Arabidopsis thaliana: one gene and its partner. The protein of the gene in region 1 interacts with the protein of each later gene in a pairwise test. Each region holds a gene or a part of one and is shown on either strand. Other genes may lie near its edges.

Evidence for each region.
Region 2: the proteins of BNQ2 (region 1) and AT3G06590 interact in binary tests that used the Arabidopsis thaliana proteins (3 or more experiments, as listed by UniProt).

The regions. Positions count from the first base shown.
Region 1 is NC_003076.8:4,920,570-4,924,609, forward strand, and holds BNQ2 (BANQUO 2), read right to left. Parts: upstream 2,244-4,040; 5' UTR 1,985-2,243; coding exon 1,856-1,984; intron 1,074-1,855; coding exon 918-1,073; 3' UTR 674-917; downstream 1-673.
Region 2 is NC_003074.8:2,052,186-2,057,798, forward strand, and holds AT3G06590 (basic helix-loop-helix (bHLH) DNA-binding superfamily protein), read right to left. Parts: upstream 3,482-5,613; 5' UTR 3,128-3,481; coding exon 2,462-3,127; 3' UTR 2,458-2,461; exon of another isoform or gene 1,504-2,457; 3' UTR 894-1,503; exon of another isoform or gene 815-893; 3' UTR 562-814; downstream 1-561. UniProt on the Arabidopsis thaliana protein: bHLH transcription factor that binds DNA on specific sequence 5'-CANNTG-3' in target gene promoters. Negatively regulates brassinosteroid signaling.

The DNA of each region.
Region 1 (4,040 bases):
TTGCAACATTAATAAGCAAGATTCGTGTGATATATCAGCCGAAGAGTTTTCTAAAAACTGCTCACTCATCTTACTTTTCATCGCGGGGTTCATACATTTTGACTGTAAATACTTACACTAACTAGATTGTATGATACGCATGTTTAAACTTCATATACCTGTTTTCTAAACCTTCAAATATTTTAGGGAATTTTATACAGATATATATATATATATATATGTAAAATTATTGTAGGTAATTAAATACTAAATTTTATAGCAAACTAGTGTAAATGTTATCTTTATTATCAAATATAATGCACGATGGGTCTGTTTTCAAAAACATTTGTTGGATTTTTTATTTTTTTTAATATGTGAGAAGCTAATAAATATAGATTTTGTTTCATTCTGTAGTTTGTAATTTGTAACAATGTATAGTGGTATAATGGTTGAGATATTATTTTTTATGTGAGTCTGGTAGGTTTGAGTCATCCTATTACGTTTTCATGCAAAATTGATAATCATGTACGCTTTAAATGATAGTATTAATCAACTTTTCTATCTATTTCGAAGATAAGTCTAAATTAACTTTGAAATTAATTAACCTCTTGGGTGCCATATATACTTATATAGTATATCCATTTGTATAACGCATTAACACACATACAAATGGACACACTTACAATATAATATAAAAGGATTTAAATTAAATAATTACTCGAAATCTTATTTATTATAATTTTTAAGCTTAATGGAATTGCATGCATGACGTTAAACCAAAAAAGGGTCAAAATATGAACCCTAACTAGATAGGATTGTAAATAATATATAAGAAACATAAAATAGATATATAATTATGCAACACCCTGATGGATCAACCTCCCAACGAGATTTTAAGCTTATATATATAAAGCACAACTAATCAATTTATATCTTAATTATCCATTAATCAAGCTCCTAATAACTGCGGCTTGTGGGCTATTAGGATCAATGGATTCCAGAAGCTGAGTCAATCGATCACTGAGGTCATCGGCTTCCTTGTTCAAGTTTCTTATGTAGTTGCAAGTCTCTTGTAACACTTTCGACGCTGATACCTACAAACAATTTTCACAATTGTACATTTTATAGTAAGGATTCAATATAAATATTCAAACAAGTCTTAGCTTGCTTTAACAACAACAGAAACAAGTCTTAGCTTGAAGTTATGATGCGTGTTAATAATGTAAGAAAATATATTGACGCTAGTTGCTTGACATACTACACTATGCATAGGTTAAAAGTTAAACCTAAAGCTTAAGATAAAATGCCCATACTTTATCAAAAAAATAAAAATGCTCATAACTTAACCAACACATTGTTTTGAAATTGAGAACAAATCTGATTGGTTGTGTGTACTATAAGAAAACGATGCTTCCATTTATAGAAACCAGCTTTTTCTTATTTTTCTAGAGTTCGTACTTTTCTTGTTATATAGAAACTAAGAAAACCAAATATAAAAATTAGTCGGTGCTGTACATAAATGTATTGAATTGATGGTCCGTGAAGCAATATAGTCGTCTCACATTCAATGTAGTTAATCAATAATAAAAGTAAAATTAACTAGAAGCTTAATGCTGAAGTTAGGGAAAATATGTTCCCCTCTCCTCAAAGTCCGGTTAATGGTCAAAAGTAATTTTAGAAACTTCAAAATGCAGTCTCCCACACGTACTTCTATGACTATAATGCACTATTCTAACATGTTGTATACTTGTATATGCGTGATTCTCTATTAAACATAATAGCTAACCCTAAATAAATATCATCAAAGTAAAACTTATGTGACTATGCCAAAACCTTGGTACATAGAAGAAACACAGTAACTTTTGAAAAGATTTACCGTGTTGGAACGACGGTTCTGGCGAATCTCCGGAATGGACTGTCGGAGCTTTGAGATGAGATCAGTGATCTGGTCATCGCTAATTCTTGATGATGAGCTTGCTTGTCTCGACCTTCTGCTAGAAGACATGTTTGATTTGAAAAAATATTCTTATATATATGTGAATCCAAGAAAAGGCTTTCTTCTCTTGATGGCTTTGTTTGTGCTTGTCGAAAGAAAGGGAGAAGAAAGAAGGAGAAGAAATGGTGTTATATAGAGAGCTAGGACCACTTCTAGATAGAGAGAGAGAGAGAGAGCGAGAGTAATACAAATAATCTTAAATAGGGGTGTTGGATATGCCGATGACAAGTGCACAAGAGAGAACAGTGGTTTAGAATTGGAGTCTTGGATACATGACACGTGAATTTACAAATTTATCAGATCGTGATGTATATATGTGTCTAATATTACTATTATTTGATGATTAATTTAAAGTTGATTTATAAAAAACTAGAGAAAAAGATACATAAGACAAAAAAAAAGTCTGTCTAACTTTTATCTATTTACTTTAAAAAAAGACAGCATATTTATCAACAATAAATACACCGAAGATAGATATATATCTTCTATTTTCTTATATTCAGAAAAAAAAAAACCATCTTCTTCTCTTTTGAAAATTACATTAATCCAAAGTCTCCAACAAAATCTTGCTTTTCCTAAAAAGTTTCAAAAACTTTAGTAGAACTTAGTATCTATTACTGGAAATCTTTTTGCAATAATTTGTATTATGTACATTTAAAATCTTCTTATTATATTATTATATGAGTATTATAAGTATTGTCGATATTATAATGCTATTATATTTTTAATATTGTAGTATTTCAATGATGTAAATCTTTTCAAAGATTTATTTTTTGTTAATTAGTAACATTATAATATCTGTTATTTTTCGTCAATTAGGAATTCGCAAATGAATATCTAGATTGACAGAAAATACCAAACAATACTTTCACTTGGATACATTGATAATTTATCTCAAAACTTATAATTATTCTAGTCATTAAAATCTTTATATATATTGAGGTGAGACTTTGTGATAATCAGCTATAGTAGTTACAGTTCCTTAATAGCATGTCCTAGCTTTGCTTGAGCCTTGAGGTACGGTGAGAGTTTGTGAGAATGTATCATTATTTTTTAAGACCAAACGACAACTATCCAAAAGCTCGACTAATATGTCTTGTTAGATATGCTATGATCAAAGAGAAACTAATTTTTCAAGTGGGAAACGATTCTGATTTCAAGTACTGAAACAATGCAACATTAAAATATCACCACTCTATTTATCTTATTATACAAGCTAGTGTAAAGCTTGTCTATATACTCAAGATATACCTATATGAGTATATCATTATTTTATGATCGTTGTGATGCGTAAAACCAAGAAGATTTTGTGGTTCAGTTATATAGATACGGGTAAACAAAAACAATGGACTTAGGTCAATTTGAGGGAACGTACGGTATCTATCCTAGCCAATAGGGAGGGGCTAGTCTTACACTTTTAGTCCAAGCTCGATCACGTGTACCTCAATTGATAGTGTATATGCTTACGATATTTATTTATATGTAATGCCTAAGTGGAATTTCATCAATTGTCGAACCCAATATCTTTGAGCACTTGTTCTAAAAAACTTAGACAGGTGATTTCCAACTAACATTCGTCAATATGTAATTTTGTACAAATACTTTAATTTTAATTGTATCAGTGAGTTTCAATTTTTATTTAGGATTTATATAAATACTACATGGTAATGTTGTTTTGGTCATAAATAACAACAAACCATTTGCTAGATCTAAACACGTGATGATGATGATGAAGATGATGATATATGCAAAAGATATGAATGAATGATGATTAGTAGATGTATGATATGTATTAGAAAACAAGGAGATGGTGTGATAAATTGGACATTAAAGAAAAATGTTTGCTGATGAGCACACAAAGGTGGGACTATTTATGTTTTAATATTTTGAAGTTATAAATAAGAACCAGTTTAACCTCCCATGTGATGATAGGACACTCTTTCCCCCCTCTAATCAGGGAGCATCCCCATCCTTCACGCCCTCTCCCACATGACCTCTCGCTTTTCTTATCTCCATCGTTTTACTACGGTAGTGAGATAACAATTTTCAAAGAAAAATGTTTTTA
Region 2 (5,613 bases), on another chromosome or scaffold:
CTTTGGGTAGGTTTATATTTGATAAACATATTATTCCCAAAAATGATGTTATTGATTAAAAAACGTTTCCTAATTCTTCTAACACTCTATGAATTCAGATAACACTAGATTAGATAAGTGTCCTAGTTTGAATTTAAATTTAATCGTATTTTACGTGTGTGAGAGTTATATCCTATATGTAAAAACTAAAAGTAATTTGAGCTATAAGATAATACTGAATGGATAAATAGTAAAAGTTTTCCGGTTAACCGTTGTTTTTAATTCCTGCTTAATTAGATTGAGTAACAAATATGCAAGTGTTAACGTGTAGCAACATGGAGGTATTACATACAATGTAGATAAAACTATATCTGAAAAAGATATTGATTTATGTGTAAATTAAAAATAATAAAAAATTTCTAAAAGATGATTAGAGGAATAATATATTACATTGTATATATTAGCCATAGGGTTTAGGGTTCAACTAGATTTTTAAGGTTACTCTTATCGTTTATTTATTTATTAATGATATATATATATATATATATATATATATATATATATATATTTATTTATTCACACAATTTAATAAGCAAACGTCTAAGTTGAAACCCTAAATTAAAATATCATTTCTCAAATCACTATAAAATGGAGTCTCTCCCAGAAGAAGTGGTTGTGAAGGAGATCTTGCCACGCGTGGCTCTTTCTTCACTCAAGCTTGTTCAACTTCAGCCTCGTATGCAAATCATTACATAATCTCTGCAACGACCCTCAAGTTCTCGAACACGTCTGCCTCGACGAAATCAAAACCGCAAACGATGACCTATAACTAAAGCTAGAGTTTTCTCAAGAGATGCAGAGAGAGCGGAAACACGGAAGCAGTGGCTCGTGAAGGAATTGTGAAGTGCTTTTACCTATTCAGTAATATTGTTGATGAAGAGAAAGGGATCGAATGTTTGCAAAAGCCGCGTCTAAAGGACTCAAAGCTGCCTCATATCTCTGTGGAGTGATCTCTTTGTGTCGCGGTGGGAAAGTTCCGCAAAAGAGTATCGAGATTTTCAAGTCTTCTTTTGTCGTGAAATCTTCGGCACTGAAGACTAGGAGAAACCTCCAGGAGTATCTGCAATGGATGGTTTCCAAATATAAAAATCATTTTTTGGGAATTAGGCTCCTTGGTTATAACTGTGTTCGACATGGACATAATTTTATCTGGGCAAGTTTCTCTAATAGTGTGTTGGCGAGTTTTAATCCAATCTTCTACAATGTTGCGGTTTATTTTCTCTAATAGTTTGTCCCTTTTGGCAATAATAATATAACTTATGAAATATGTGATGAAAAGAGTTGTCGTGCAAGTTAATAAGAGAAGGCTTAAAAAGAAACAAGAGGACAAAGGCATGGCCACTCCCATGTGCCTCCTCATACTTTTAAGGTCACTTCTCTCTATGTTTTAAATATTTTTTGCTTTTGTCGTCACTTGTCTCTTGTTGTCGCCTAGTCATACTCCAGTGTTCTTAAATCATATCCCTATCACAGAAATTCGTATATTAATTAAGCTAATGAATCAAACTCCTGTTAAGTCAATTTTAACTACAGGTTATTCAGTTTTGCTTCGTGATGAATATTGAAGGATATACAGTACGTGCAGAACTGCAGATTAGTGTTTGAGAAAACTTATTTAGTAACAGGGAATTATTAGCTAATTTAATCTTTTTTCTTCTTTTTTTCCTTTATATTTCTTGTGAAATAAGGAAAAGAAAAGAAAAAGAAGACAAACAACCTATAAGTATCAAAAATGGGATTCAAAGGAGGGGCAATAAAGCGAGTAGATGATTGAGTGACAGATCAATCTCATCAGTCATCATTCAATTCAATGAATTTGAATGTATCATTCCATTCATTCTCTAATGCATCATCACATGCTACCATAATCAAAACTAAAGTTAACCCATTATCTTCCTACATCTACTATAATGTATTTTAAAATTCTAAATGGGAAATTATTTTCTTTCCACTTTATTGCAGTACAAATCTATTTCATGTTGAAATTTCATATAGTACATAAGATGATATAGTACAAAGCCATATTGAATGAACTAAAAGTACATCAAAAGTTCCATATTGGTTTAGTTATCACATACTATGAGGTTAAAAGAGGAACCCATTTTCCCACTAACTCCAATAACGAATTCATCAATCTTATTTTTTTTTTGATCAACAACGAATTCATCAATCTAAATCAAATAATCCAACTACGATTTGAACCCTAATGGTAAAGACTTTATTAATCAATCATATACTTAATTTAGACTTGAGGATCGTAAAAATGGGAAGACTCGGTTCAAAATTTACTTTTACTTGTAGCAGAGAAGAATCAGCGGTTGGGAAGAGTAGTTACAGATTATAATCAAACCGAATCTTCTATATACACATAAGCTGTGAAAGATCGAGAGATGGTAGAATTAAAAAGACGATTTTAACCTCATCAAATCGGTGGAGGAGCTGAGCCGTAGGAGGAGAGAAGCTGAACTAAAGAGTTCATGGCTCTCACTTGCATCTCCAGAGCCTGAATATAATCAGTTGCTTCTTCTAGAATCACCGGTACGGATTGTTTACCGCAACCGGGAACTAACCGGCCTAGAACACGTACTTTCCGGTTAACATCCGGTATACTCTTCTTATTCAATCTCAACACCGACACTCTCCGTTTTCTCGATCTGTTGCTGCTGCTACTAACCACCGTAGTCATGGCCGGAATCGCCATCGTAGCTCGAGGACGTCTCTGTTTACGAAATTTCAGTTTGATCCGATTAGCTAAGATCGCTCTGCTCCAGAGTGTTCTTCCCCGAGCGGAAACGGCAAGAGCTCGATCGGCGGCTTCACGGACGGCCTTTCCTCGTTTCTGAGCCGTTGGAGATGATGATGTTGAGGCGGAAGAGTTGAGGCGGACTTGTTGGAGCGCTTGGAACAGTTTGGCTGAGTAGATCCGTTGTTGCTTCTCCGATCGCCATCGCGCGTGAATCTCACCGGAGACGGAAGATGCGCTTGAACGAGACGATGCGGCGGATGAAGCAGAGGATCTCTTCTTTCTCCGAACGAGATCTGAAGTAGTACTCGTCGGCGGTTCAATATCTGAGATCAGAGACGCCATAACCAAATAATTGGCTCTGATCTCCGCAGTCGTATTGAAAGAGCTACAGAATCCGAATTTATCTGAAGTTGAGCGGAAGAAAGTTATGAAATTGTGGAGAATAATGGAAGGGAGAAGAAGAGGAAGATATATAAAGGGAGAGAGGTATCAACTATCACGAGACGTAGCAGTTAACAAACGGCCCCGTTTTAGATGTAGCAGTTAATAAGCGGCGTCGTTTTGTCAATTTGTTTTTTAGTATTTGTTGTTTTAGCCAGATACGAAAGTGGCATTTGTAATGCATGATAAAGAGAATTCGTGAATACCACCAAGAAACAAATAATTTCATTCTCAACACTAGTGGAATTGATAAGTTATAATTAACTGGCTCTATAACCTCTAATGGTTTTGGAATAATGAGAGACAGAGACATCATTGTGACTTGAAGCAATGTTTATGAATTATGATTATACTTAAAAAGTTTTGTTCCACGTTGATTAGTTCACAATTATTTTTTTAAACTTACCCTCTTGACAGAGATTTTAGAAAGAAATTTATATACAAAATTTCTTACAATCACGAGTTTTCGATCTTTTGTAGACATAATCTAAATAGAGAGTAAAATACATAATAGAAATGCTACAAAGATCCTAATGTGGGTAGAGCATCCATAACGATAGTTTCCAATCAATTTAGGGTACAATCTTAATTACTAAATTAGCTTATTGATATCTAAAGATGTTTACGAAAAGAGAAAACAAACAAACTTGTATAAAGGCCGATACTTTGGTGGAATGGAGGAGGAAGGTAGATTCAAACGAAAGGATGACGTGTCATATTACTATTGGAGAAATCCATTTACGACTTATAGTGGTCGTTTAATGGACTGACAGGGCAAAAAGAGAGGGGCCAAAAACTCAAAACTTTGGATTTTGTATTCAGTGCAATGATTTCGTAAATATTGGAATTGTATTTAAAATACTACTTTACGCATAAAGTAATATACCAAACGAAATGCATGTGCGATGTAGGGTTAGTGGCACTGCCTCTCTTTACGGCTTTTTTTTCTTTCCCTGTAAAGAAAAGATCACTGAAATTAACTCCTGTATTTTATCAAAAAAAAGTTTTGTATGTGTATCTATCAATATGTATGAATAAAATTTCATTAAATTTTGTGTATATGTATAAGTAGATATAAGATTAATAGATTGTTGGGTAAAGTATAAGGGAGTGGCGTCATTTTATTCATATATCCTGCTGAAAAAAGGAGCTTCTGAACTTCTCCATTGGGTTAATTCATATATAAATAAAGCTAGCTACGTTCAAACTAATTTTCTAGAAAAGTTACTGTTAGTTTGATTTTTGTTTGTACTGTTCACTATGTTGAGTTTGATCAGCAGTTAAAATGGAAAATACCTATCTTAGTTTATGTTAGACATAAAAGTACCACAATGGTATATATACTGTATTAAGATGTTTTTAGGCGGGTGGAAAGGATGTTAGAAACAGAGCGCAATGCGCAATGCTTCATAGATAATAGTATTCATTTAACCTAAGGGCTAAGGGTTAATAATTGTGTCAGTAACGTGGCATATTCTCTGTACCTTAGAAAGTTATAAGCTAGAATGATTCCACATGACAAATTAATGATAAGAAACAACATATCCAATTATTCACTAAAGTGTCACTTACAATAAAATAGTTTATCTACTTCGAATTTAAGAATATATTTTCGATTTAGATACTTAAATTTTCTCAATTTATACTTTAGAATCAAGCAGAAAATTTGTTGGTGAAGAACAAAGCAACCTAATGAATTATCTGTTTTACGAACTGAGTCAAAGAAACCACTATTCGAATCTGCGATTTGCGTAATTCTCATGGGCTCTACTTCAACAACAACAACAAAAAAAACATGTATCACAAAGGTTGCTGGCTGTAATTGTTATCTTCCATTAATAGAAATAAATATATTTCGGATTGGAAGTTCAAATTTGTTACTATGAAAATTTACTACTGTAAATCATAATTCCAGCTATCTAAGGTTTTCAAATTTATTTGCAAATCATTATGTATCTCGGATGTAATGAGTTTTTTCTTATTATATTAATGAAAAAAGTTGATAAGGAAAGGAAAACTAACTATTAAGTATGATGAAGGTGGCACAGAGATTGCCTCCCTAATTCTAGACACCAAATAAACTAAGTGAACGACAGACAATGGAAGAAGAAGGACTAGTTTCTTTTTAAAGGAAGAAAAAGGGAAGTATTGATTAGATTAACAGATGATGATGCTCAATCATTGTTTTTTCAACGGGTCTATTTTGGATTGCTAATATGAAATGATTAATAGTCTTTTGGTAAATTTAACATCAACTTAACAACACTTTTCAGAGGCAAATATGAAAACACTAACCTGTGTAGTTTTTTCTTTTTTCAAATGATATTTCCAACTTCTATGTGTTTCGCTTCATCAGAAGTAGTTGATTTTTTGTCCCTGGTTTCTCA